4 linked regions of the Tamandua tetradactyla genome follow. The protein of the gene in region 1 purifies or fractionates together with the protein of each later gene. This does not show direct contact. Links are inferred from orthologs where the notes say so. Each region holds a gene or a part of one and is shown in the gene's direction. Other genes may lie near its edges. The genes, in order: SETDB1, ATF7IP, SUV39H1 and CHAF1A.

The links.
Region 2: the proteins of SETDB1 (region 1) and ATF7IP purify together in Homo sapiens (affinity purification with mass spectrometry; 6 studies listed by BioGRID and IntAct, counting the BioPlex papers as one, with this or other methods). This does not show direct contact. The link is inferred for Tamandua tetradactyla from reciprocal best matches to the Homo sapiens genes SETDB1 and ATF7IP.
Region 3: the proteins of SETDB1 (region 1) and SUV39H1 purify together in Homo sapiens (affinity purification with mass spectrometry; 3 studies listed by BioGRID and IntAct, counting the BioPlex papers as one, with this or other methods). This does not show direct contact. The link is inferred for Tamandua tetradactyla from reciprocal best matches to the Homo sapiens genes SETDB1 and SUV39H1.
Region 4: the proteins of SETDB1 (region 1) and CHAF1A purify together in Homo sapiens (affinity purification with western blotting; 3 studies listed by BioGRID and IntAct, with this or other methods). This does not show direct contact. The link is inferred for Tamandua tetradactyla from reciprocal best matches to the Homo sapiens genes SETDB1 and CHAF1A.

The regions. Positions count from the first base shown.
Region 1 is NC_135330.1:4,640,181-4,647,333, reverse strand, and holds the start of SETDB1 (histone-lysine N-methyltransferase SETDB1), read left to right. Parts: upstream 1-4,143; 5' UTR 4,144-4,275; intron 4,276-4,281; exon of another isoform or gene 4,282-4,353; intron 4,354-5,686; 5' UTR 5,687-5,697; coding exon 5,698-5,957; intron 5,958-6,462; coding exon 6,463-6,614; intron 6,615-7,153. UniProt on the Homo sapiens protein: Histone methyltransferase that specifically trimethylates 'Lys-9' of histone H3. H3 'Lys-9' trimethylation represents a specific tag for epigenetic transcriptional repression by recruiting HP1 (CBX1, CBX3 and/or CBX5) proteins to methylated histones.
Region 2 is NC_135333.1:76,972,650-76,980,564, forward strand, and holds the start of ATF7IP (activating transcription factor 7-interacting protein 1), read left to right. Parts: upstream 1-4,901; 5' UTR 4,902-4,920; coding exon 4,921-5,096; intron 5,097-7,915. UniProt on the Homo sapiens protein: Recruiter that couples transcriptional factors to general transcription apparatus and thereby modulates transcription regulation and chromatin formation. Can both act as an activator or a repressor depending on the context.
Region 3 is NC_135353.1:121,570,002-121,576,864, reverse strand, and holds the start of SUV39H1 (histone-lysine N-methyltransferase SUV39H1), read left to right. Parts: upstream 1-3,863; 5' UTR 3,864-4,081; coding exon 4,082-4,100; intron 4,101-6,230; coding exon 6,231-6,376; intron 6,377-6,863. UniProt on the Homo sapiens protein: Histone methyltransferase that specifically trimethylates 'Lys-9' of histone H3 using monomethylated H3 'Lys-9' as substrate. Also weakly methylates histone H1 (in vitro).
Region 4 is NC_135337.1:77,704,519-77,711,531, reverse strand, and holds the start of CHAF1A (chromatin assembly factor 1 subunit A), read left to right. Parts: upstream 1-4,010; 5' UTR 4,011-4,080; coding exon 4,081-4,132; intron 4,133-4,181; exon of another isoform or gene 4,182-5,931; intron 5,932-6,106; exon of another isoform or gene 6,107-6,243; intron 6,244-6,596; coding exon 6,597-6,647; intron 6,648-7,013. Other genes in the region: SH3GL1 (endophilin-A2), read right to left, coding at 1,270-1,314. UniProt on the Homo sapiens protein: Acts as a component of the histone chaperone complex chromatin assembly factor 1 (CAF-1), which assembles histone octamers onto DNA during replication and repair.

The DNA.
Region 1 (7,153 bases):
CCTCAGAGCTACAGTTCTGCAGCTATGAAAGTCAGCATTACCCCATACTGCAACTGCTAAAAAAAAAAAAAAAGCTGAAAAAGAAGTCAGCCTTCAATTAAAGACATGAACAAAGCTGATCTGGTTAGGACTAAGGTCAATCAGATGAAAGGTTAAAGGATGATATTGACTGTATTTTAAAACTTCAATTTCTGTGTGAGACCAAAGGAAGAGATATTTATTTGGTGCAAAATTTATATTTTCTATGGCACACTATCTAATTTAATTTGTATGGGCAGTTTATTCGAACACAATAATTACATGGAACCTTGAAAAGGGAGTGAGACTTTGTTGGTTTGTACAGGTTAGTGTGATAATCTGATACATCCAGAGTAACCTGGTACAGAAGATTTAAAAATCCCATTGAGGAACTAGGGAAAAATGTGGAAATATTAAAACTTCTCCACTTGGGGAAACCCTGCTTCCTCACAAGCATTTGTGTGCTGGTTTGAAACTGTTATGTACCCCAGAAAAGCCATGTTCTCTTAATCCTAATCCAATCTTGGGGATGCAGACCCATTGTTTGGATGGGACATTTTGATTATATTATTTCCATGGAGATGTGACCCCGGCCATTCAAGGTGGGTGTTAGTTAATTTACTGGAGTCCTTAAGGAGCCAACACAGACAGCAGACATAGACATTTGGAGATGAAAACAGAAATACTCTGGGTGCTGAGCAAGAACTCACAGAAATAGCCAGAACCTGGAGAAAGCCAAGAGAAGCTGAGAGATGAAATCCAGAGTTTGCCTCAGAGAAGTTTTAATGTACAAACAAATCAGCCTGTAGGCTTATTAAAATGCAAATTTGGATTTGGCACATCTTGAGCAGGACTGGAGATTTCGAATTTTGAACATATTTAGTATGTTGAGTATGCAAGGCCTTAGAGCATGAACCTTTACAATGAGACTTTCCTGACCATCTCTGCTCTCAAATTCAATTTTCAGAGTATGCACATTGTAGTTAGTCCATATAAGTGATGCATTATACTATCTGTCTTTTCATTACTGGCTTATTTCACTCAACATTCTGTTCTCATGGTTCATTCACCTAGTTGCACAACTCATGCTCTAAGGCCTTGCATGTTGAGTAAGCAAGGCCTTAGAGCACACTTCCTGCATCTCTCTGCTGATTTCTACAGGACTGACCACTTTAGCTTTCTGGGCAATGAAGAAATCAAACTGGAATATGATGCTCCAAGCAGCTCCTGTTTTTCCTCACCAGACCCACCTCCCCCACAAAGACACTGGAAAGCTGCAAGAATCTAACGGAAATATACTTAACCAGGGCATAGCAAAGATTTCCCTTCATTCAGCATACATTAAGGGGCCCCCTGTGTAGGTGCTAGGAGAAACAAAGGTCATTAAGACAGACTCTTGAGTTGATCACAAGCCAGAGGAAACAAACATACGCAAGTCAACTCACTAGCGGAATGAACTAAGGCAATGGAAACACAGAGGCAGGAATTAATCCTGCAGGGGTGAAGCATGGAAATATGTGCAGATATAAAATTTATAAAAGTGTCTCACATAACCGTGGGAACGTAGAGTCCAAGGTCTGTATGGCTGGCTGCAAGCTGGCAGCTCCGATGAAGTTCCTCATGAACTCTTAGGAGAGGCTAGCTGGACAACCACAGGAATGGATGACTCCAAAATCCACAGGGCAGGCTGTGCAGCTGACCACTCCGATGGAGGGTCTGGACAAACTCCACAAGAGAGGCTCGTGGGCTGAAGCAGGAAGATAGCTGTCTCTTCTGAATCCTCCTTAAAAGGCTTCCAGTGATTAGATTAAGCATCACTCATTGCAGAAGACACGCCCCTTGGCTGATTACAAATGCAATCAGCTGTGGGTGCAGCCAACATGATCATGATTTAATTGTATGAAATGTCCTCATAGCAACAGACAGGCCAGCACTTGCCCAACCAGAGAAACAGGTACCACCACCTAGCCAAGCTGACACATGAACCTGACCATGATAGTGGTCTAGGACAGTTACTCCTTTTTGTTTAGTTTTTTTTTATTTAAGGAAACAAATAATATACTTAAAACCAACAAAAATGAATATCTAAGTTAGCTTAACCATAGGCATAAATAAAGTGTCCATATAATTATTGTAAAGCCTGTGTTTGCACAAGTTTCATAAATCAGTTTAAAATTAAGGCAACAAGAAAAAAAATCTACATATTCAGATAGCAAAGTTCTTAAACTCTAAGTATTAAAAACTAAGATATCATTTGATCAGCTGTCAAAACTGTGAATGTTCTCAAAATATCTAGTAGAAAGTTCTTACAAATATCTGCATTGCTATAGTAATGATCTATATTACTAAATATTTTCCTCATTTCAGGAAAATATAAATATACAAATATTTTTACCATTGACATATGGGAATCTTAACCACCTAAAATGGATATCCTAGTTAGCTTATCTACAGGCATATTTAAAAAAAACCTAAGGAATCATCATAAAGCCTGTTTGTACAATATGTTTCATAAACCAATTTAAAATTAAAGCAAGGAAGGAAGAAAATCTATAAATACAGATATCAGAGTTACTTGAACTGTAAACATTAGACATTATCTTAAATACCATTTGATTAGGCATTCTGTATGCACTCTCAAAATATCAAGTAAAAAGTTATCACAAATATCACCTTTGCTATAGTAGTGATCTATGTTCCTAAATATTTTCAAATTTTTATTTCAGGTGTTTATTTTATCTAGTATTACTATAATTGCCTATAGTTTTTTTTAAACCATTTTTAGTTGTAAAATATAACATACAGAAAAGGAAGAAAAAAAACAATTTTCAAAGCACACTTCATAACAAGCAGCTACAGAACAGGTCCCACAGTTTGTCACGGACTACCATGCCCTCATCTCAAATTTTTCCTTCTACTGCTCCAAAACACTGGTGGCTTTAACTTGATCACAGTCGTAAAAATGGAATCATACAGTATCTGTCCTTTTGTGTCGGACTTATTTCACTCAGCATTATGTCTTCAACGTTCCTCCACATTGTCATATGCTTTGGGACATCATTTCATCTTACTGCTGCATAATATTCCATCACATGTATATACCACATTTTGTTTATCCATTCGTCTGTTGACAGGCACCTGGATTGGTTCCATCTTCTGAAAATTGTGAATAGTGCTGATATGAACATCAGCATGCTCATGTTTTAAAACAGAACCTTTAAAAGGAAGTGAGTGACATGATCAGAACCACATTTTAGAGCTACATGTAGAATTAATCTACAAGACATGCCGTTTAGGAAGCTCTGGAAGTTTTCCTGACGAGAAAAAAAGAGCTAAAAGAAAAATAAAAATAATGTAGAGGAGGAGAAAGCTATAGTAAACATTTCCAAACTAGGACAAACAAGTATTAATGTTTCAAGAGAAGATCTTTGCTAATCAGAGTGTGAACTGTTACCTTTTTGCAAAGTAATTTCTACTAAAATGAAAAATGTACCTATCTTTTGCTCGAGATTCCATTTTGGGGAATCTTTTCAACAAAAAAGTACTACTTCAAAATAATGTTAATGTTTTGCATTGTTGCATTGTTTGTAGTGGCTGAAAACTGCAAACTAAATTTCTAAATATGGTTTAACTATACTACGAACTACTATATAGCTGTCAAAAGGGTATTTTACCTTTATTAACGTCAAGGGATATACCCATGTTAAGTGAAAACAAAACAATTTCCATACATGAATGTGTATGTAAGCGCCTCAAAGGAGTAGGGGAAGTGACGGCGGAAAGGGGAGGAGATTACATTTTTCTAACTACATCTTGTTACCTTTCGACTTGCTAAATTCCTACGACTTAAGTAATAATACAAATTCAAATAAAAGTGAGAAAAGAACTCTAAATCTAAGTGTTTGCCGAGTGAGTCTTTACACGATAAATGTAGCTCTGTCGCTACCAGCAGAGAAGCACCGCAGGATTCTTCAAAGTACCGGACCCGCGAGCAAACGCTTTTCACGTGTGCGGTAGCCGACTCGGCTTCACGCATGCGTGGTTGCCTTAGTTGGCCTAGACTCTCTGGGGACTCCGCGCGGCTTTGGGTTTGACCCCGTCAGGCTACCGTCGCCGTGACCGGAACAGTGTTTAAGGTTTACTTCCGGGCGTGTCTGCAGCTTCCCCTTCCCTCTTTCGCGTTTCCATCCCTCCCCCTGCTCCCTTTTCCCTTCGGTTTCGTTGTTTCCTTTTCCCGTGGAGGCCGATCCCTAAGTCGTAAGTCTAGGATCTGGTTGGTAAAGCAGAGCTTTTGGAGCGGGATGCGGGGAGGTTTGGGGTCTACTGTTAATTGAGGTATTCGGAGCCTAAAGGCCCGGGTGGGATTTTTGTTTGCGGGAGGAGGTCGGGTGGGGGTGAAAAGGAAGTTTCCCCACGAAGCGAGCGTGGGCGGGACTCAGCCTGGATTGCGGGTGGGTGGAACGTACCCCTAAAATGGGTAGCACGGGGGAGGGGCGAGTGTGAGGAAAGGAAAGATGGAGGACAGAGAACTGGCATAGAATTCAGCATCAATCTTTCTTTAAACCCAGAATTCGGTATCAGTCCTGCTTTAAACTTTTGATCGAAAAAGAATTTCATACTAACGAGGGTTATTTTGACTGTGAATTTTATTTGGTAGCCATATTTTATTCCCAGACTAATTTATTTCTCTTTCCTTCGAAGAAACCTCTTTTTGCTACACGCTTGCCTGTGCTTACGCATTGTAGCCTTTTAAGGGGCATTACAAACAACAATCAAATGTAGATGTACATTTTCTCATGGAAGCAAAGTAGGGGAATCAAGTGTAAAGTAAGCTACAGATAATCTTTCCCCGATTGAGGGTATTTGTTCAAATTTGGCATAATATGTAGACATAGTTCTGTTTCATTAGTCAAATAAAGAACATATTAGGTCAAAAAGATTGACCTGTAGATTGATTCTCTTCAGTTTCCTAAAACATTTCAGTAGCTCCGTATTACAAAATGAATTAAATAAAACTTATTCAGTGGGACTCTCACGTCATTCTGCAATACGGCCCCCAAGTTAGCTTTTCAGCTTCGTATCTCACCACCACCTATGGTTTACCCCCAAACATCCGAAGTTGTTGAAACGCTTTCATGGATTTTCCCCACGTGGAATGCCTCCAACTTAATTTTAAAGGCTCATTTCAAAAGCTCTCTCGCTGGCTTAAATGTTACATGTTACATGTTAGATGCTGCATAAAAAAAAAAAAAGAAAGGACAATGTAAATATAAGCAGTTCCTGACATTTGGTAATATACTGATATGAGATGCAGGTACAGAACTTGACAGCTAAAATAAACATTTATATGTTGTGAGTTTTAAGGTAAGATAACTAGATAGCCTATGGGATCATGTTCTCCATGCCCTCCCAAAATTTTAAATCAATCCTCTTAGTCTGTAGTGTGAGCTGAGAACTCTACAAAATCTCAGCAACAGGTTCTGGAGAATTGGAAGAGAGAATATAGAATCAAATTTAACTGTTTTTTTTTTGTTTTTTTTTTTTTGATAACAGCACAGTAGGAATAAGTCTATTAGTAGGAATAAGTTCCCTATTAGGGAACTGAAATTCTTTATTAATTGTGGTGATAATGACCCTAAAGGTAATTTTAGTTTTCTGTTCCATGCAGAGGACAACAGGATGTCCTCCCTCCCTGGGTGCATTGGTTTGAATGCAGCAACAGCTGCAGTGGAGTCTGAAGAGATTGCAGAGCTGCAACAGGCAGTAGTGGAGGAGCTGGGCATTTCTATGGAGGAACTTCGGCAGTTCATTGATGAAGAATTGGAAAAGATGGACTGTGTACAGCAACGCAAGAAGCAGCTAGCAGAGTTGGAGACATGGGTAATACAGAAGGAATCTGAAGTGGCCCATGTTGATCAGCTCTTTGATGATGCGTCCAGGTGAGGACTGCATGAAAACGAGAAGGAACTCTCTCCGTTGGCGTTTTTTAAAGTATAATTGTTCATGACACAGTGCCAAACACATTATGCTTTACTACTTTTTTCCCTAGTAAGATCACCTAAGGAGTGAGGATTGTCATGAGTTTCTGACTTATGTGGTTATGGAGCATTAATGAGTTCCTAAAACTTCTATCAGCTTCTAAACCCCAAAAAGATTAGTTTCTGGTGCCCTCTTTGTCACTGAGAACATATTTTCAAATAATCACAAAGTAAATTATGAAGTAAGGTTGAAAAGACTTTGAACTTATTTTCCAGATTTTCAAGGAACTAGTTTGGAAACCATACCACCATTTAAAATGTTTTTCTATGGTAAGCATTCCAAATTCTAAACAGACACTTTGGAATATGGTCTGTAAGTTAAGGGCAGTCTATATTTAAATATATATAAATCCTAACGACTCTTACACCTACCTTCTCTGCTTTTCTACATATATTCCAATATTAGGGCAGTGACTAATTGTGAGTCTTTGGTGAAGGACTTCTATTCCAAGCTGGGACTGCAGTATCGGGAAAGTAGCTCTGAGGATGAAGCTTCCCGGCCTACAGAAATAATTGAGATTCCTGATGAAGATGATGATGTCCTCAGTATTGATTCAGGTAAGAGATAAGGCTTTGGATAGGGAAGTTTCAAAGATTGAAGTTGAAACTCTGAAAGAGGAGCAGATGAAAACAGAAGAGGAGAAACTGTTATCACTAACTTCATATTCCAAACTACCTGACTTGCCTGCTAGAGGAAAAGAATAGAATATTGTTAGCATAATAAATACAATGTCTAATTGCATTGTCCTCCTTTCCCTATCCTGGATAATCTCTATTCTGAATTCCCTTGCTTTTCTTTGTAGGTGGCATTAGTGCCTATGTGTGTATAATTTACATACCATAAAATCCACTCATTTTAAGTGTATGGTTTGAATTTTAGTAAATTTACACAATTTTGCAACTTTCCCCACAATCCAGTTTTAGAATACTTGGATTACCCCTAAAAGTTCCCTTGTGCCTGTTTCCCATCAATCCCCATTTTCACCCCCAGGTACCACTGATCTGCCTTCTGTTGCTCTAGTTTTTCCTTTTCTAGAAGTTTTTTAAAAACAGAATCATTCAGTCTGTTGTCTTCTGTGTCTGGCTTCTGTCATGTA
Region 2 (7,915 bases), on another chromosome or scaffold:
ACATACATTAACTCACAATTTCAGATGGTCAGGAATATGTATCCCTTGCTGAGTTTCTCACAAGACTGCAATCAAGGGGTCAACCAGAATGCACTTTCCTTTCAAGTATTTATGGAAGAATCTACTTTTAAGCTCATTTAGTTTCTTGGCAGAATTTCCTCATGGCTCTATGACTGAGAGACATGGCCTTTTTGCAGGCTGTTGGCTGGAGGTCACCCTTTGGTCTGAGTGACTACATGCACCTTCTGAAGTCCTCCTGTAGTTACTTGTTATGTGGGCTTCCGCAACATGGCTGCTTTGCTCATCAAGTTAGCATGGAGAATTTCTTTCCTCAGGGAGGGTCCAGTCCCTTTTTTATAAACAGCGCTCACCAGATTAAGTAAGGTTCATATAGGATAATCTCTCTTTTGATTAACTCAAAATCAATTGATGTGGGATCTTAATTACATCTGCAAATATTTTGCCATATTCTATTTGCAAGGAGTGTGTTACAATTTCTCTCTACACTCATGGGAAGATGATTATATAGGATATTAACTCCAGGGAGAAGGTATCATGGAATCCATCTTAGAATTCTGACTACCAGACTTCCTGTTTTCAAGAGTTGTTTCTTGAATTTTCCCAGGTTTGCCTACTCACTTCCTCAATAAACTTTTCTGCAAATTGGAGGCCAGTAATACAATTATTAGGTTGTGGTTGAATCATCTTTTTCCTAATGGGAGTGTGGGGAGTGTAGATATAAACTACTCAAGTTGAGTTTCCTCTGTATTACTAGTACTCCTATAAATACCACTACTATAAATACTGTAAGCTAACACATATTCAGCTCTTATTATATATCCAGCATTGTTTGAAATGCTTTACTGCAATGTAACCTTCATAAAAACCTTATCAGGTAAGGCTATTTTTTATTATTTCCATTTCATACATGTTGGAAAGAAAACTGTACCAGAAAGAGAATAAATGTTCATCTGATTGTGGAGAAGAAAATAATTTATTAAAGATCTTGCCAGAAGGGGTACACAACCGCAATGTGGTGGCTGGTGTGCCAAACAACAGGAGGCAGAAACATTTATTACCTAAGCCTAACACGGGAATCACCCTCCTCTGTTTTCTCATTGTCTGGGTACTCCAAAGGTTACAACCTACCTGAGAGGTCTAACTCACATTTTTTTCCCATATAAGGAAATGGTGCCAATCATTAAGCATACATAAGAGGCTCCTTCCCCCTTCCCAACTGTGGAACTGGTCTGGGCTGGTTTTTCAGCCTTTTGTTTAGTAAATTTTGTTTTCCCCCATTCCATGCCATTTTGTGTGAAAACTAAATTTAATTTTATTCTTACATACATAGGGATGCATTGCATAGAGATATATAAACAACAAGTAAGATGCAAATACAGGATTTGAATTCATATAGTTAGTTTCAGAGCATATTTTCTTAATCACTACTTTATGCTATGTTTTATAAGTATTTAGAAATTTCAGTTTTCTCCTTTGGCTATTCTTTTTTGTTTTCCTTCTTCAATTGCTGCAATTGAAGTTCATTTATTTTATTTTTGGTTTTCTTTTACTGTTTTTTTCTTTTCTCTTGTGAGATTATCTGATCTGCTTTACTATAGCAATATTATTTAAGAAGAATGTTAGTATGAACCAATAAGGCTATACATGGATAAAATGTGGAAATACTTTGGTCTGATTAGTAAATAGGTGCCAGAGTTAGTTTGCAGCTGTATGTACCCCCCCCAAAATTAATCTATCCCTGTGGGTGTGAATGCATTGTAAGTAGGATCTTTTGTTGACGTGACTTCAGCTGAGGTGTGACCTACCTCAATCAGGGTGGGTCTTAATCCTGTTACTGGAGTCCTTTATAAGTGGAATGAAACTCTGACAGAGGGAGAAAGCCATGGAAGCAAGAAAAGAAATCAACAAAACCCAGAAGAGAGGAGAGAGATGAATTGACAATGCTTTGTACCTTACCATGTGGCAGAGGAGCCAAGAATCGGCAGCAGCAGGTCTTTGGGACAAATGCATCACCCTGATGCTGCCTTTATTTGGACATTTTCTTAGCATCAAAACTGTAAGAGAATAAATTTCTTTTATGTAAGCCAAACCATTTCATGGTATTTGCTGGAGCAGCCTAAGAAACTAAAACATTGTCCTAACTCTGAATGCCCCTCAGTTCCTAGCTCATGACTCCTTTATTTCCACATAATTCAGCAATTAAAGGATTAATATTTGATAAAATAAGGGGTCTTCATGCCTGCTTTCATTCTGATTGATAAGTGCCTAGTGCCATAGGGACTAATAAACATTTTGAATACTATTTCTCCTAGAAGTTGAATCCAACCCCTATTTATTCTTTGTGTTTTCTGTTTTATCTAACCTGAATTCTCTTTCTTTTGTAGCTAGTTTGACAGTCAGACTTTAAATTCTGCATGATTAGTCAGATCAAGTTACATCTCTGTGAAGTTTTTCCACATAATAAGGAAGATTTGGGTGCTCTTCTTTTATATTTCTTTTATACTTGGTATATATCTTCCTAGTAGTAAAGTTCTCATATTTATCTCTATATATGATTCTTACACTTATAGACCAATGGCAGAGGCAGTGTTATTTCCTTTGGGCATCTCCAGTGTGTGTAACAGTATCTGAATGCAGTATAAATAGTATGCGTGTTGAATGAATCAGTTAGATTAGTTAGATAAAATAAACAGGCAAAGTGGCCAAAGAGACTGTTTGTAAAAATGTGTGATTAGGGATATCTGGCAAGATTCAAATAAAATAAAACTAGGTATTGGGAGACAAACATAGAATGTGACGTTATCTAAGACAACTGATCAGTGAATTAATGCTAAACTATTTACTCTTTTCCATTAGCACAATTCAGAGATTCCGTTTATTTGCTTATTAAAGAAATATAAAGAGAAACCTAATGGGTTTGATTATTCCAATCCCATCTCTATTGTTATAGAATGGAACTCTTTTTTTTTTTTTTGCATGGGCAGTCACTGAGAATTGAACCTGGGTCTCTGGCATGGCAGGCCAGAACTCTGCCTGCTGAGCCATCATGGCCTGCCCTATAGAATGGAACTTTTAATATTTATACTAATATTTTAATTTACTGAGCATATATTTTATAATTTGAGCATCTATGTACTAAATAAATTATGCCAAAATTTTATTATAATTGAATACCTATTTATCACTTGAGCACTCTTAAATACTATGTTCTGTGCTGAATATTTACAAAGTTTAGTAATTAATGAATGCAAATCTAATCATGTCATTTCCTGACAAACTCTTTTAAGAGATTCCTTATTGGCTTCAGGATAAGGTACAGGTTTTGATAAAGAAATTTATTAAATCACCTCTGATGTGAGATTCTCTCACATAAGGAGGAAGAAGGAAGGCTGTTATGATTCCTGAAGTCTGGATTAGGTAATCCTTTTAAAAGCTATTCTGTGTTTCAAACCAGTTGAAAGTCTCAAGTTATAAAAATATTAAACACCCTGTGCTAATCTTGTATTACTTAGAACATTTTTCTTTTTAGTTTTCCATCTCTTCCACTAGAGTATAAAATTCTTGAGAAAAGGAACAGTGTCATACTCACTGTTTAATTCCAGCATCTAACATATTTCTGGAGAAGAGTGGGGTGGAGAAGAGTGGGGTGATTGCTAAATAAACAGTGAATAGATAGATTAAGGGAGAAATTCCTTAAAAAAAAAACCACCACCAAATCTTAGGAACTGATAAGGCTCCTCCTCCTTTGCAAAACACATTTATACTACTTATCTCATCAGTTGACCCTCTCAACCAACTTGAACCACAGGCAATATTTCCACTTTACAGATGAGAAAACTGAGTAAAACACTTATTCCAGCCAACAGGTAAGTAAGAAGTAGAAACATGATGTGAGCCCAGATCTCCCAATTAGTAGGGTAGTGCCCTCTCTACACCTTGTGGTCTTCAAGTGAATGTTCATTACCAAGGTAAAATTGAATGCGATGGACACAAATTTTGGTGGAAGGATATGATCGGAAATGCTCGCTGTGTCACAGAAAACTGAAAGAAAAGATATCTTGTCTCCATTTCCTCATTACTAATACAGTTCAAAGTATGTTTTGTGAATTAAAAACAGAAAAGAACTAAATATATTCAGCTTCCTTTTTTGAAAATGTTTTCTTAGTTCTTCAACTCTCACATATCCACTTCCTTTTTTCTTTCCTATGCCTCATAGAGGGCGCTCACAAAGTGCTTTACTCACTGATTGTACAAAGGTCCACTCAGAAATACACCTCACGCTGCAACTAAAAGTCGCAGCGCCACCACCTCATACTTCCTTCTGGTTTCCACGGTAGGAGGCGGGGCCAAATTTCCTCATTCAAATAAAAACCCAGGATATTTGCATGGGGAACGGCCAGTCCGTAAGCCTATTGGTTGATAGCCTAATGGGCGTGGTCAACACACGCGCACGGAGACCCGCCTACATTAATTTGCATAACGGCCCCGGCGCGTGCAAGAGAGAAGCGGGTTTGTTTTTGAATCTGCGGAGGCGGCGGCAGCAGCGGCGGCCCGGCGGCTGAGGCGCGCGAGACTGAGGCGGCAACGTTCGGGACGGCGGCGCGGGACGGCTCTGTCAGAAGGAATTTGGTTCCCCCTCCCTCAACTCCCGCCCCAAAAGGTATATGTGAATCCCAGGGGCTCTTATGACCACATTTTCTTGAATTTCTATTGTATTTCTGAAGAGTAAAGACCGCATTATGGCGGCTGCTGGAGTTGTGTTTGCGCCTGCGCGGTTGCGGAGTTGCGGACGGGCGCTGCATGGGAGCACGTGATCTTGCGGGGGTAGGGCTCTAGCTGCAGTTGTGCAGCTTGGCGGGGCGGTGGCTGCGCAAGCGCAATATTCATTTTCAAGATCTAATGTTCTTATTGGGCGCCATTTGGGTTCTAGATTTATTTTTCCATATTTTTCAGGGGTTTCATTCTGTTGCCTCCAAATTTCCATATTTTTCATGGAAGACCTTTATTTTATATCTTATTTCTTTACCGACTTCAAGCTCTCCTCAATTTCTCCGATTCTCTGAGAAGCTGTGGAGGTGATTTTCTGTAAAACTGTGTGACTTGTGGTTCTCGATTATAATTTCATTTTTTTTGGGTGTTGCTGAATTCATGTTTTATTAGGAAGTTAACGATCAGTTTCTTGCATCTAATAGTGTTTTCCTGGGAAGTGCATGTATTTGAATTGCATATTAGCAAATATTTAACCCTATTTTTACCAGTTCTATCATGGTTGTGTGGAATGTTTGCAGAATAGAAACAATTTGTGTTTTGAAACTAATAGGGGGAACCTGGGAAGCAGTGAAAGAACATACAATGTAGTTTTAAAAGAAACCTCGTTTTTTTTTTTAATCTTAACTAAGTTTTAATTTTTATAAGTTTATGTGTCTCTGAACCTACTTAAATGTGAATTTCACATTTTTTCAGTCTTCGATCACTTGTTTATTTCTGAAATACTTAATTTTGGTTAGCTTATTATTGTTATTCTTTTAAAAATCTTTCTTATTTTATTTGTCAGTATGAAAATTATACTTCACAGTGAAGTATAATACTTGGTCAATTGTTCTGATAAAGAGTTCCACAAAGTCCCAACTACACTGAAGTCTTTGTGAGGAAAACAAGTAACCACCAGTAAAACTTAGTTGATTGTTAATAACTCCCATGTTAATGTGTAGAAGATACAATTGTTTTAATTTTTTTAATAGTGTGCTTGATTTTAGTTTCTTGAAAAAGGTGGTTATAATTGCTCATGTATTATTTATTTAGTTCAAATAGTCTCATTTTAAGTCGTATATGACTCCTCTGAGTGAAGTTATTTGATATGATTTCCCATTATGCAAATTATTTCTTATGAGGCTAAAAACTTGTAAAACAATTTTCATAAACTTTGTCAGTGGTTTGTATATATAACAATTTGTTTAGCATTATATAGCCCTAAATTTAAATCATTCTGTCAGTGAAGAAGTGGCAGTGTTTTATAATCATGGTCAGTTTGGGAACGTTTTTATTGCCTTAAATCAACCTCCTTGGTAACTATTAACTAGATTTAATTGAAAAGGATAGTTTTGAATGGTGGATATTTAAATGATGTCACCAGAGATAGAGTGATAGGAAACATTTTTTTTTCTCATCAAAATCTTTAGTATGTTTCAAATTTAATTCCTTCAACTCTGAAGTCTTCTATGCAGAAATGTCTTTCGAGGGCAGTTGTGTAATCTTGTCCCTTTATTCTTCTGGGGTGGTTACCCAACACTCCCCTTCCCCCCACCCAAGAACGCGCGCACAGACACACACACACACACACACACACGAACAAATCCAGGATAAACACTTATTTCTGATAGTTTAATGTTGCAAATATGTCATTTGAAAAAACATCTGTGTGTGTATGGATATGTAGATACATATTTAGGTTAAAAGAACTTTGGTCTTAGGGCATAGTTCCCTTTGCATGTACAGAAAAATGAAATATTTTGGTTTATATATTTCAAATTTGGCTTTAGCTTGAGTATACATATGATTGTTTTTTAATTAATATTGAAAGTCATAAGAGACACTTGAAAACACTGAAGAGCATAATGTACAATGTAAAATCTATTGGGAGGACAATTTTGCTGTCATGTTTTTAAAAAAAGATATAATACAAAAAAAGTAAGGTTAATGAACTGTGTAACCATGCACTGTTCCTTAGTACCCTGTTAGTAACCATATTCTGAAATTTTAGTTTGGTGGTTATGATGCCACAAAATTTAGACACATGTGGAGCCTGTATAAATATTAGACCAAGTTACTGAATACTAAGTGACTGGGGTTGTTTAAAATCTTTCTAGTTTTGTGAATTTTAAACATAGCCATAAACCATTAAATTTTACTTTTTTCTTTAAATCATGATTTGAATATGTGACCTTTTTTTATTTATTATAGAATGTTTCTGAAATACATTGAGAAATAAGCACTCTAAATGTTTTAGTGATTTTTGCGAAATTGCTTTTCCAGGCTTGATAAATCTGTCAATTTTTATTGATCTATTATTTTTTCATTGGGATCACAATTTTATTACTGCTTTTTCAACTTAATATTATATTGTGAGTATTTCTTCATGTCATTGTTCTTCTAAAATGTTTTTATTGGCTACATAATGTTGTACTGTGAAAATATTTCCAAATTATGAAACATTCCTCAAACACATGATTTTGAGTTGCTGTGTAATATTGCTATATCAAGTAAGAACGTGCTGTGACTTGCTAGGCCTTGTGTTTTTTTTTTTGTTAAATTTTGTCTTGTCCATTTCTGTATTATAAGTAATGCTACAGTGAACATCCTTATATAGCTCAAACTATTACTTTGAAATTACCATTTCAAAGGCTTGTAAGATAATTTTCCAGATTGTTGCAAATTTAAATGTCTTTTGAAAAGTATTTCTCATACCACCATCAAATTTGGTGGATGAAAAATAGCTCAGCAGCTTTCCTTTGATAACTAGTAAAGTTGAATTTTTTAATGCCTTAACCATGCATTTTCTCATTTTGTGAATTAGCTCTTTTTTTTTACTTTTTCTATGGTGGGTGTTAATGTTTTCTTACTTGTTTATAAGAGCTATTTATGAATATTAGTTCTTTGCTTTTCATATTTGTTTTAGCATTTTTTTTTGCCGATCAAATACCTTTTAAGTTTTTTATGGTTTTACATATTCAAAAGTTTTATGTTTTTATGTAATCACACATACTGCGTTTTTTCCTTTGTGATTTCTTCCAGAGCTTCTCTGCCTAGAAAATATTACCTTTTGTGAGATCAACTAAATGTTCATCTATATGGCTTATTTTTTCCTAGAATTCTAAATTTTTTTTCCTCCCTCATG
Region 3 (6,863 bases), on another chromosome or scaffold:
AAGTATGTATATCTTTTCTCATTAAATTTTTATGAATTAGCAATGTGTAGATGTTTTATTAATGTAGCTCTCATCTTATACAGAACTACTTGGTCATAGAATAAACTATGGAGTTGCAAAGCCCAGAGATTTCTTTTGTTAAACATTCATAACTTTACCTTATTTTTTCATATTTTATGTAAGTAACTATAGTTTTTATAAAGGTTCAGGTAGTACAGAAAGAGTGAAAATCTTTAATAAAATATTTGTTCCTATTTTTGTGGAAAAAAAAAATTCATCACCCGAAACCTTCCTCTCTCCCTTTGTAATCTTTTCCTTTTACTCCTCCTCAAACCCCAACCCCAGCCGTTCACTGCTTTCTGTCACTGTAGATTGTTTTGCATTTATTACAGTTTTATTTAAATGGAATCACAGGAAAATGTACTTTTCTTTTATCTAGTGATATTGAGAGTCATTCATGCTGCAGTGTGTATCAGTAGTTCATCCCCGCCCCCTTTTTTTTTCCTGTGATTTATCGGGGCATCACTCTGGACAAATCGACAAAATCTCATGTCCTATTCAAGGTTCCATGTATTTATGGTGTTCAATTAAACTGTCTGACCATTTTTTAAATAGTTTTATTCACACATTATACAATCCAGCCTAAGTGAATAGACATGCCTTCACCACCATAATCTATTTTCTTTTCTTCCACAAAGAATCCATACCCCTTTCACAATCCCCCCACCTATTGATATTTAGTTTCGGTATAATGCCTTTGTTACATTCAGTGGAAGCACGTTACAATGTTTCTGTTGACCACAGACCCTAGCTTACATTGATTGTACTTTTTCCCATATACCATTTATTTTCAACACCTTGCAATACTGACATTCCTTTGTTCTTCCTCCTGCAAAAACATTTTGAAATTTGTACATTTAATCACCATCATTGTCCACTCTAGGCATTTCTAAATTATCCCATCTCAGTCTTCATTCTCTATCCTACCTTCTGATTTCATACTTGTCCCAGCCCTTCTCCCTCAACCATACTCACATTCAGCTTCATTCAGTGTACTTACATTATTATCCTACAGTCAGGTCGTGTTGTGCTATCCATATCTGAGTTTTTGCAATCAGTCTTGTTGCACAATCTGAATTCCTTCAGCACCAATTTCCCAATCTCTCCCCTATTTCTATCTCCTGATAACCTGTGTTCTTATCTTCCATTCTCCAAGTTCACTCACTAATGTTAGTTTACTGATAAGTGAGACCACACAAAATTTGTCCTTTAGTTTCTAGCTAATTTCACTCAGCATAATGTCCTCAAGGTCCATCCACATTGTAATAGGCTTCATGACTTTATTTTGTCTTACAGCTGTGTAATATTTCATTGTATGTATGTAACACAGTTTGTTTAGCCACTTGTCTGTTGATGGACATTTGGGCTGTTTCCATCTTTTGGCACTTCTAAATAATGCTGCTATAAACATTGGTATGCAAATGTCTGTTTGTGTCCTTGCTTCAGTTTCTCTGAATATATACCTAGTAATGGGATTGCTGGATCATATGGCAATTCTATGGTTAGCTTCCTGAGGAACTACCAAACTGCCTTCCAGAGTGGCTGTACCATGTTACATTCCAACCCACAGTGGATAAATGTGCCGCTTTCTCCACATCCTCACCAGCACTTGTCGTTTTGTTGTTGTTTTGATAATGGCCATTCTAGTGCTTCCTACTGTTTTAAGTTGCTTATTTTTTTAATTTGGGACTTGCCAGTTGGGACGCAACCCTTTTACTGTCTTCCAGAGCTGAGATAAAGATGGGTCTGCCTGTTTTTTTCGTTGTTTAACACTTCTTTGGGGGAGGTGGTGGTGGAGCAGTGAGCATCTCACTCCACCATCTTGGTGATTTTACATGACCTCTTACTTTCGAGGTGCCTTGAAAAGGTGATAGACCAATAAGATTCATTTTCTACATAAAAGGGAGATGCGCACCCCAAGAGCACTCACCTGAGGTTTCACAAGTGAGGAAACTGAAGGCCAGAAGGGTTAGTTTGCCTAACGTCACACATTTTGGTACGTTGTAGAGTTGGGATGTGAAAGCAGGCAGTGGCTTTAGAATCCATGCTTTTATCAAGTACGTTATACTGTTTGGGAAAGGTCAAGAGATGCTCCCCACCACTAACAGGGCCCCAGTTGCCCTCCAGATGAGGAAGGAAAAGGTCATTCTTTAAACTACTCTCCTGGGACAAGTCTCCAGGATTTCTGGATATGAGAGGGTCTTGCCTGAATAAGGAGGCACCAGAACCTGAGTTTGTTCTAGAAGGAGTAAGGAAGGGAAGGGAGGTGTATAGTGGAATTTACTCTTTTGAGTGCTCCATTCATGCCAAGTATGGGCTGATGGAACTTCTGACTGACCAGCCATTGCTCTAACTAGCTCATAGCTGGACTGGCAAGCAAACAGAATAACCGTTTGGTTAACTGTAAAACTGGTTGACAGTATTATTCATGAACCGACAAGGAGAGGAGCAATTTGAGGAACTGATGATGTGGTTTCCTGATGTTGGGAGGTACTGAACATCTGACTGAATTTCAACCCCCACTGGGACTGGCAGGTAGTCTCACAATGTGGAAGACAGGCAGCCTCCTAAAGGAATTATTGACTTGCTGATGATTTATGGTGTTGCTGCCTAACTGGGTGGCAGGATGTTGTGAATGACAGACTATTACCAGGAATCATGCCAGGCCTAAGGGATGGATGTTACACTGTTTGAGAATGTGTAAAGGAGAGCTACCTTAAGGGGATTTCAGGCTGGCTGATCAACAGATTTGTGGCTGCCTGATAGGCAACTGTGAATGGTGAATGACTGGCCACCCTGACTGGCCACCATGCTTGAGGGCCTGGCTGAGTGCTCTGACTGCCCAACTGACAGACAGTAGTAATTAATGTAGTCAATTGGATGCTGAGGATGATTCCCTGATAATATGATGAGGGGTAGACTGAAGGAATCACAGGGTAGTTGATCAACTGAAAGATCAGTGTACCTGCCTGAGTCAATGGCTGTACATGGCTACAGACTGCCCTGATGGAATCACAGCTTTCCTGAAGGAGCCCAGTGGAACAAAGGAAGCTGACTGATCAATGGTGTGCTTGAGAAACTACTGAGTTATTGAAAGTGGCATTGTGACTTTACTGTACCTTTACTTGCTCTGACAATTTGCTCTGTGGGCCTAGCTGGGTATTGTACCTGAATAAACTGCTCAGGGTGTGAATGAAGAGCAACCTGAAGCGATTACAGAGTGACCAACTGACAGTATGGCTGCCTTGACAAGGTTATATTAGATGCTGACAATGACAGCCTGTCCTGACCTAATCACAACCTGCCTGGGGGCATATTTGGACGCTGTGGCTTACTGGGGTGTGTACAATATGATTCCGTGAGGTGGAATCACAGCTGGTCCCAGGGCAAGGATAGAAGTGACCAGCTGATTGAGTGACTGACAGAAGGGGCAGTCTGAGGGTGTGACAGGCTGGTTGGCTAGCAGGGTAGCTGGTAATAAGTGCTGTCTGTCAGCCTTAAGAGAATCACAGCTGGTGTGAAGACACAGATGGACGCTGAATGGGGTGGGGATTTTGACTAGACAGCTGTCGTGACATTCTCTGATTTGAATGAAGTGACTGCCTTGGTATCTGTACGTGGTTAGAGTCCACTCTGGTGGACTCACCGCCTGCTTGGGCCTAAATGTGACGACTGACTGACGAGTTTGATAGGACGGCAAATCCCCCTTTGTGGCAGGCTGACGACATAATTGGTCAACTGCAAGACAGACGTAGTGGCATACGGGGAGTGCCTCCGGCAACCTCAGTCGCCGCCGCCGCCGCTTCGGTGCAGACGCACTCTGGGAAACAGCGGGCGGCGAGACCGCCTTCGGGACCCGGCAGAGTGGCGGGGAGGGGTCCGGTCACGACTCGCCGGTTGGTCGGAGCCGCGCCGCTCGTGGCGCGCCCGGGCCAATAGGCTGCGCGTTGTCGGCCACGCCCGCGCGAGCGCTCTTCTCGCGAGGCCGGCTAGGCCCGAATGTCGTTAGCCGTGGGGAAAGATGGCGGAAAATTTAAAAGGTGAAGCGGTGGCGGCAGCGGAGCGGGCCCGCTGGCCGGGCTGGGGTGAACTGGAAGGGTGGCGACGCGGGCCGGGGCCCCGGAGTCCGAGACCGCGGAGTCGGGAGCCTGGAGCCTAGCGCGGAAAGGATGGGGCTCGGGGAGCGCGGGCCTGGTGCGCGGGGCTGGGCGGGGCTGAGTAAAGGGGGCGCGTGCCTCGGAAGCCGCGGGCGCGGGGCTCAGTGGGGTCGCGGGACGGGGTAGGGCTGTGCGCGCACGCCCCACATCGAGATCTGACCCGGCGCGCCTACGCGCCGGAGATTGTTTGGGGAGGCCGCGCCCGCGCGCGGGAAAATCGGCCGCCGGTGACCGTTACCCGCTTGGTGTCCACGCGAGACGCTGGAAAGGAAGGGGGAGGAAAGGGGATCTTCCTAGAGTTGGGGGACAGGGGACTCAACAGGGTAGGGTGTCTCCTCTCGATGCGAGGGGGAAGGCTTTGGAGGAGAGAGAACACCCGCTGAATGAAGAGAAGGGGGCTTCTCTAATAGAGTTGGACTCCACACTGTGCAGGGAAAGAGGGGTGACGTTCTTGGTATTTTGTTAGGGTGGAGGGATAGCTCCTCTGTGTGAGGAAAGCTGCGGAGAGGATGTGTGAGGGGGACTCTAGGCGGGTAGGAGAGTCCAGCTGTGGTCTCTCTGTGGTGTATGCTGGAGCCAGCACCTGGACATCTTAGTTGGGACCACTTTAGGTAAGGTTTCAAATGTAGGTTTGGGGGTTTGGAAGGAAGAGGAAAATGTGGGCATAGGCCCAGAATCTGGGATGGAGATATGAAATTGAAGTGTCTAGGCCTGCCTAAGTGGAGGGGGTGAAGTGCACACGAAATAATTTTCTAACTTCGAAAAGCTCTTGTACATTTTTAGGTTGATATCTTGAGTGTTTAATCCCAAGTTTAAATAAGTTTGATTTTTGTAATGGGAAGTAAAAAATATTAAGCATTAAAAAGATGAACTAGGCTAAGGATGGACTATACTTGCAACAAGTGTTTTGTGAAACGATTTGTTAAAATGGCTTCTAAGCACATTATTTAAGACCTAGTCCTAAGTCAGATAGAAATCTTTTGCTTTTTAAAAATCTATGTCGCATGAAAATTTTTGGTAGTCTCAGGAATCATTCCAGGTATGCTTTTAAAAATGGTTGTCACTAACCTGTACTGCTTTGCCTGTTCGTGATTTCAGACATTCCCCTTTGGGTGAGCTTTACCCTTCACAAAAGTGTGGATGAGACAGAGAAAGTCAAAAGCAGTGTGAAAAAAAAAAGCAGCATGTGTTTAAGGCATCCATACTTAAAGCTTCAGGGAAGCTTCCTGTAATTGAATACCATTCCACAATCTCTTGTTCGTAATTCTGAAATCTGAAAAAGTCCTGAAAACTGAAATATTTTTCTTATGTTTGGCACCACTCAGTGGCAAAACCAGACTATAAGGTGGGACTATTCAGTGCTGCTATTCTACACCTCTTTTTCTCTTATTTAATGTGAAAATTTATAATTTTGCTGTAGAAATATTAATGTGTTTGATTATGGTATAATCAAGGGGTGTTAGGTGATATATGGTATATACTTAGAACTACAATTGTAAAATCCCCTCAAAATTTGAATTCCAAAACATATTGGGCCTCAGGAGTTTCAGATAAAGGTTGTGGACCCGTCTTTCCAGTTATGCTTTGTTTGGTACCTTAGAGGTTTTAATCCCACCTTCCCTGTACTGATAAGGGGGTGGAGGGGGTTGTTCTCTCTTTTGTAAAGGAGGTAGAAGGGTGATCTGATCTGAACCCAAGGCAGGTTTGCAGGCAGTTTTAAGAAATAGTACAGAGGAAATTTGAAGCTCTGGGAATGTTTACTGTTAGGACAATTCATGCAGCAAACCCCACTTTGAGGACTGCTGCTCCAGGGGTAGCCTTGGGCAGTGACCCTTGGGGTTTAAGGAAGTAGTACATTTTGGTTGTGGAAGGCATTGGGGAAGGCCTGTGGATTGAATATGACTGACTATGAGGCAGTACCTGAGAAGTCCCAGGCAGGATTTGGTAGTCCCTTTTGACCCCTAGTCTGGCCAGGCTACCCAGTAATAGTTCTTTCCTGTCCCCTTGTTCCAGGCTGCAGTGTGTGTTGCAAGTCCTCTTGGAATCAGTTACAGGACCTATGCCGCCTGGCTAAGCTCTCCTGCCCTGCCCTTGGCATCTCTAAGAGGAACCTCTATGACTTTGAAGTCGAGTACCTGTGTGATTACAAGAAGATCCGCGTGAGTCTGCGGGTGACCATAGCCCTGGGGTGGAGGGTGTCTCAAGGTGGCTTTCTGCCCTCTTGCCTAATAATGCCTGCATCTGTTTCCAAAGGGAATTTTCTTTCCTGATCTTAAAAAACAGGGTGACTAGGCCCTCTTATTGTCCCCATTTTATAGATGGGGAAACTTAAGTGATTTTCTTAGGGGGTAGGGGATAGGGCCAGAATGAATTCACCCAAATAAGCCTCTCTTCCCATTTCCCTCGGAAGACAAACCAATTGCAAAGATTGAGAATACTTCTTATATGCAGAACTCAGGAATGGAGATGAAGATAGCTAATAGTTACTGAGCACTTTCAGTGTGCCAGGCACTTCCTCTCAGAAACTCATTTAATCCCTCGGGTAACACTGTGAAAAGGAAACTGTTATTGTTGCCAAAGGAGGTAACAGTAGAATAGAACAGACTGGAGCCAGCATGCTTGGGTTCAAATCCTGGCTTTTTGACT
Region 4 (7,013 bases), on another chromosome or scaffold:
TGAGGACCCTCGGTTGTTATAAGCAAAATTTTGCCTCTGCCCAGTATTCTACAGAGTGAATCCATAGCTCTCACCAGATTTGTGAATAAAGGTGCTGGGACTTCCCGAAAGTCCCGTTAACGGTCACATGTAAAATGCATATATTTTTGGACTCAGCATTCCACTTCCGGAAATTTCCCCTATCTGTGAGCAAAGATATCATTCACTGCTACTGTTTCTAGTAGCAAATTATGGGAAGTAATCTAAATCTCCATTAGAGACAACTGGTTAAATAAATGATGGCATACTTCATGGAAGAGAATACCATGGACCCAAGAAAAGGATCCAGGAGGAGCTGGGAGTGGGCTCCAGTGCAGTGCTCTGGGGAAAGGGAGGAAGGGACAATTCTGTTCCCTTCCCCAGAAGACACTTGGTGATGTCTGGAGACATTTTTGATTGTCACGACTGGGGACGGGGTGCTGCTTGCATCTAGTGGGGGGAGGCCAAGAAGGCTGCTCAAGCCCCTCCAGTGCACATCCCAGAGAATGATCAAGCCAGCCCCAAATGTTAATGATGGGTGCCAAAGCTGAGGGGAAAAAACCTCCACTCTGGTGTGATTCCAAGACACGTTGACCGAAAAACCCAAAGTACAGAGGAGTATGTAGTAGAATACACTACCTCTATGTGTGTGCGTGTTAAAAGGAAAAATGCACACATATCTTTGGAAAGGGATATAAGTGGGTGACAGTATCTGGCCGGATGGAGGGAATGGATGTCTAAGGGATGGGTATGGGGAACTGACTTTTCACCCCACTCTTCGAATGGGGTACCCTGTCTTCCAAAAAGTTATTTTAAAGAATCAGCTCTAGACGCCGATCTTCCTTGCCTCTTGGCTACCTGGCAAGTGTAGGTTCCGGCGTCGACTGCCTCGGGACTCATTCTTCCCCTTTCTGCCCCCCTTCACCTTTAGAGGGGAGGAAAGGAGAAGAGGGTTCTAGGCTTCTGGACAACCTCAGGGCGCACCCGTGTACCTACCAGGGGCTCGGCCCATCCTTTCAGAGAAGACCGGGGCCCAGAGGGTGGGCAGAGTCCGGGCCACCTCCGGGTCCCCGTCCCTCTTGACTCTTGAGGTCTCTCCACTCTGGGGGTGGGGTGTGTGTGTAAGGACATGTGCTAGAGCGGCCCCCCTCCCCTGGGCCCGGCCCCACTCCTCTCGAGCCAGGACCGGACCCCCCGACCTCCAGGTAACCCGTGACCGACGGTAAACCCCTTGCCTCGGCCTCCGCTCACCTGGCTCGCCTTGTAGAACTGTTTCTTCAGCCCCGCCACCGACATGCTGCCTCCCGCCGTCCGGCCTCCCGGCCGGGCCGCACAAAACGAAGGAACCGCAGAAGTCACAGGTTCCCCGGCGCCGCCGACCTCCCGCGCGCCGTAGCGGCCCCCGTAGGCGCCGCCTCAGCCGCCCTCACGCCAGCTCCGCGTCCGCCGCGGCACCGCCTCTGCCCCTCGCGCGCCTGCGCTGCCAGGATATTACATGGCAACCGCACACTTCCGGTGACGGACGGGCGCGTGCGCGCGTCCCCCTCGGCCCCCGCCTGCGTACGCGCGCCCCCTGCCGGCCATGGGGCGCACGCGCACTTCGCCGGCCGCGGGAGAGTACGCCTCCGCCAGCGAGTTGGACTGTCGCCCAGCCTGGAGGGGTCGAGGTGGCTGCAGCGACCCCTGGATTCTCGGAGGTTGCCCTGAGTTCTGAGGTAAGGCGCCTAATGAAACCTCTCCGGAGCGGCTGGGACGGCAAAAGAGTAGATGGAGACCCAGTAGGCTGGGGATTACAATCTCAGATATATGTCTCCTGATCTCTGCTATACCCAGTTTCTCTCCCCTCAGCCTCCCTTGTCTTCTTCCATTCTTTCTATTATCCTCTATCCTCCTTGTCCTGCCTGATCCAGGCCATTCCGTTAGCTTCCCCAGCATCAGCTTCACCCCTCCAATTCATCCTTTACAAGGCAGCCGGAAAGAAGCCCCTATGACATAATTCAGATCACAGTGGTCCCCTGTTTAAACGGAACCCACTGCTTACAAGAAACACTCCAAACTTCCTAATATAGCCTATAAAGTCTGCATAATCAGAACCACACAACTGTTCTGACCTCATAATCCATGATACCTGTTGCCTGTGTGCCTTTGCTGAAGTTGTTCTCTTTTTTGCACATTCTCTCCCCCATCCTATATGTGGAAAGAGGATGCTGCTTGAAATGTCACGTCCTCCAGGAAAGCTTCCCAAGCTGATAAATGTTTGATATTATTTTTATCAATTTTAAAATTAATTCTTATTGATATAAATTTATTAATTAATCAGAATGAGTAAACAAGACTGAAAGATAAAAAAGAAAGTGATTAGAGCTAACATGCTTGGGACTTCTTTGCTGAAGTCTCTGATGTTCTTGGGTGGTTTTCTGAAGGCAAAAGATTGCTGGAAGTTTCCAAGTGTCTTAACAGAAGATAACCAGAGGATTGCTTCAGAAATCCCCAAGGGATTTTTTTTTTTTCCAAATGCCCATGTCTCAGCTTTACTTTCCAGGATCCTGCTGTAGTAGGTGGGCTGCTATGAAGAAGCTCCCCATGTGATTCTGATGTGTACACTCAAATGTCTAACTCACTGCAGAATTGCAAAGTGAGAATGCCTGAGAAGGAAGGGAAGACGTTCTCATTATTGTGATGGAGAAACCAGAGGGAGGAAAAACATCCTCATTGTTTGATGGGGAAACCAAGGCTTGAGTGAAGTGACTTGTCTGAACTGATATACTCCAATTCCCTGTTCCTCCAGCCTCTTTTTTCAACCAACTCTAATACTTTAGCTATCAAATCAACCTCGATAGAGTTCCAAACTTGGGCTAAATTTCAACTTCCTTTCCTCACCTCCGTTCCTGCTCTGTTTGGGAGATTAAATTGGTGTTGGGGAAAGCTTGTTTCTAAGACTTGCAGGCTGACATTGAGGGTCTCTGTTTTGTGTGAAGCTTTTACTCTCCATGATCTGCACAGTTCAATCAAGTGACATTTATTCATTCTAATATTTATTGAGCATCTACTATCCATCAAGCAACGATGGGTCCTGGGGTTACAGTGATAAAAACAATACGAATTCTGCCCTTATGGAGCTAATGATAAAAACAAATAAATTCATCAATCAAATAATATGCTGACAAACAGATATTTACAAGCTGTAATTGCTTCAAGTAAAGGAACAGTGACCTAATCTCATTGGGTGTCAGAGAGGAAAGCTTCTCTAAGATCTTCAGAGCTTAAGATCTGAAGACTGAGTAGCAATTAGCCAGGCGAAAGAGCTGCGAAAAGAGTGGTTTAGGTAGAGCAAACTGCATGTGCAAAAAAGCTGAGGATTTACCAGAAACATCCATTTCATTCATTCACTCAAATGTATTTACTGCAAAGCAAATGCTTCTGAAGCGCTGCCAAGCTTTTATTTCATTGCTCTTATTAAAAGTAATTTATCTATCAACTGCTGTTGCTATATTTAGTTGACGTCTAATTGGGGTAAACTAAATACTGCAGTTTAAATCTTTTCATCTAAATCGCCAAGCGTTTTCAGGTTGTCACCCACTGTCTTACGTAAAAGGGCTGTCATGACGTAAGAGCTTGGCTTTCGCTCCCTGGCCCACGCGTCCAACCAATCACAGCGCCTGCCTCTAAGCTTGAAACCTGCTCTCTCCAATCGCAGGGCACTTCCACCCAACCAATGACAGGACGCCGAGGGGAGGTCCCGCCCACCCCCACCCCCCCAGTCACGGGAATATTAATAGGGGAGCAATGGGAGGAATGGAGGCAACGGCTCTCGCGAGGGTACTCCTAGCGTTCCCCTCTTCCAGAGGCGGGCCTTCACGTGACGCGATTTTGCCCAATCCGCGTGCGGGCTGCAGGGGTCGCCGCGGTTCCCGCCAAATACGAGCGCGGCGGCCCGGGCAGCAGCGGCGCGGGCGGGAGGGCGAGCAGTAGCGGCCGCCTGAGGGGAGCCCGCGCCTCCGCCGCCTCCGCCGCCTCCGCCGCCTCCGCCGCCTGAGGGGAGCTCGATCCGCCGCCGGGGTGATGCTGGAGGAGCTGGAGTGCGGGGCGCCGGGCGCCAGGGGAACGGCCCCAGGTCGGTTCTGGCCCGAGCCAAGGGGAAGGGGGGGCGCGGTGCGCGGCCTGTGAGGCGGTTGGTTGCGGACTGGCCTCCGGGCCCCGGGCCTGCTGGTCTGCGCCCGGCACTCATCTCGCGGGGGCCGGTATCATCCCGACGAACGGCCTTGTGACCCCGAGGGCGCCTTTCTTGACGTTATTGTTGAGGCCGCGACCATTTTCTTCCGGCGGTTTCGCGTCACTAGGTCCTTACAGGGCCCGTCGGGGCGACGGGTCTGTAGGGTCCAAGGGGGGCTGGAAACTGAAGCCCAGGGAGGCGGAAGTGCAGGCTCTGCCGGGTACCTAGTGAGCTTGTGGCCCCTGAACGAGTTGGACCTTGCAGCTGCTGGATGGCTGGGCGGGGAAACTGAGGCCCGAGGTCACACGGGCTGCAGGAACCGGAACAGCTGATCCTGTGGGTCAGGGCAGGCCCAGGGAAGAGGCCTGATGGGGGGAATGTCAGGGGGCTGGAACTCCCCGGTTCATGAGCTTGACTGATATGCAAGTCTTTCTCCCTGTATCATCCAAGCGGGTCTTTCTGGTACTTAGCAGGTCCTCCAATAATTGGGGCGAACCATAGAAAAGAAGACTGCTCTCTCCTCAGCTTGATTCCCTATTATATCACGCACTTGGGACTGACTGGCACGTAGTAAGTGCCAGATAAATATGTGTTGGTTGAATGAATTAAAGCCTGGAAGGGACATCAACTAGTCTAATCTCAGGTTACCCACCACAGCACTGTTGATATTTGGGACCAGATCGTCCTCGGCGGGGGTGGCGGTGTGCAGAGCCATACTGTGCAGTATACAATGTTTCACAGAAACTCTGGCCTCCAGCCACTGGATGCCAGTAGCACCCCCAAGTTGTAATAACTAAATATGTCTTCAGACACTGCCAAATGTCTCCTTGAGGGGGGTGGGGTTCAGGGCAGAATTGCATGCCCACTTTCCCAAGAACCACTGCTGTAGTTGCTTCCAGACTTCAGCATGTTGCAGAGATTTGAAATTAATATAAATAAGTTGAGGACTGACTGTCACGGAGCTGTGATATTTTGATTTGACCAAGTAGGACACTTAAAGGAAAAATAAAAAGCAACACCTGCTCTGCCCATGCTATTATAAAAGGGAGGGATGTAATCTCAGAATAAAGAGCAGCTGGCAACTTTATATACCATGTTTATTGAGCAGCCTGGATTTCCCGATGGTGGGGTCCCTTTTTCTATGGAACCGAGGTTGCTTCTGGGCCATGTCACTTCTGTTCCATTTGCATTAAAGCTAATGACTCAGTGCCATGCAAATTGATATAATTTAAGTGGTTAAAGATTATCCTTTATTTGAGAGAGAAGTCCATGATCTTGGTCATTGTAAACTTGATAGTATTGTCTTTCTTCCTGGAAATTGGTAGAAAGGAAATATGAATCTTTTGGATACCTTTTCTTCTCTAAACTTTGTGGGGGTGGGGAGTAGAGGAGACACTTTCATTTGGGAAAGCTAGAATTTTTAGATAGGCCCATTCTGCCTTTAAAAAATACTCACTTTTGAGTTTCTTATGTAAAATGTGTAGTTTTACTGAAAAATCTAAACTGGATTTTTCCTAGCCAGGTCTCCTAGCAGGTGCGAACTTCTAAACTGATTTTAAGCTATTTACCCTAAGATTAGTCCTATTTATAGTTGTTTTTGCATCTCCTCTGATATTATTAGATGCTTTCCTTGAGATTTTTTTTGGTGCAGAAAACATTCTCTATCATATTGTGACAGCACTTCAGCTCCTGCCTGACAGGTTCAGTATGCTTTAAATTGTTAAATTGTATTAACTTCATAAACTCTTTTAAAAAAGAAGGTGGGGGAGGAAAGTGACCCTTATTTGAATTTTACAGATGGGCAGGGTATGTGTGGGAGGAGGGTGTTTCACCGTCATATGATGGTGAAATGGCTAATAAAATGTTTTCTTCCACCTTTGCTGTTACCCATTCCACTTTTCACTGTCCTTCTGATTGTATTTGTTCATTTCTCAGTATAAGCCGGTCTCTGAGCTCAGTGCTGTAGATTCATTCAGTCTGGGATAAGTCTCTTCACTGCCATAGAGCAGCTTCTGTTGGGGGAGACATCAATACAAAAGTTTCAGAACGATGAGTGATGAGATTGTATCCAGGGCAGGGTTTCTCAGCCTTGGCGTTAACTTTCGGGGCCAGATCACTCTTTGTGGTGGGGGCCATCTTGTGTGTTGTAGGGTGTATAGCAGCATCCCTAGCCTCTACCTGCTTGGTGCGGCAGCACACTGCCCCACCCCCACCCCGGCCCCAGTGATGGCAGCCAGCACTGTTTCTAGTGTCCATATGCCCCCACAGGAGAACCACTTTGTACATAAATAGGTTTGGCATGTATGTTTGATGATTTCATTAGTCCCAACACTTAATAAATTGTCCTTTGACCCTTTATTTGCAGCCATGGATTGCAAAGACAGACCAGCTTTTCCAGTCAAGAAGTTAATACAAGGTAACTTTGGAATGGTTTGAATAGCCGTTCCTCATTTATATCTCTCATCATCTCCTAAATCATGTTTTTTAATTCCTGTTGAGTGAAGGCTCTCTGTCGTGATCCTCAGAGAAGGGACTGGAAGGGAGAAAACCAGTTGGTCTCAAGAGAAAGTTGGGATATTCATTTTGTCACGCAAATATACCCTTGTGTACTCAGAGCAAATTCAGAGGCCCCTGCTTCTACACCACGCTTTCTACACCTCGAGCTATTGACATTTCAAACCAGTTAATTCTTCCTCGTGGAGGCCCACCCCATGTATTAATATGTGCTTAGCAGCATCCCTGGCCCCTGCTTTCCAGATTCCAGTAGTCAACCACCACCACA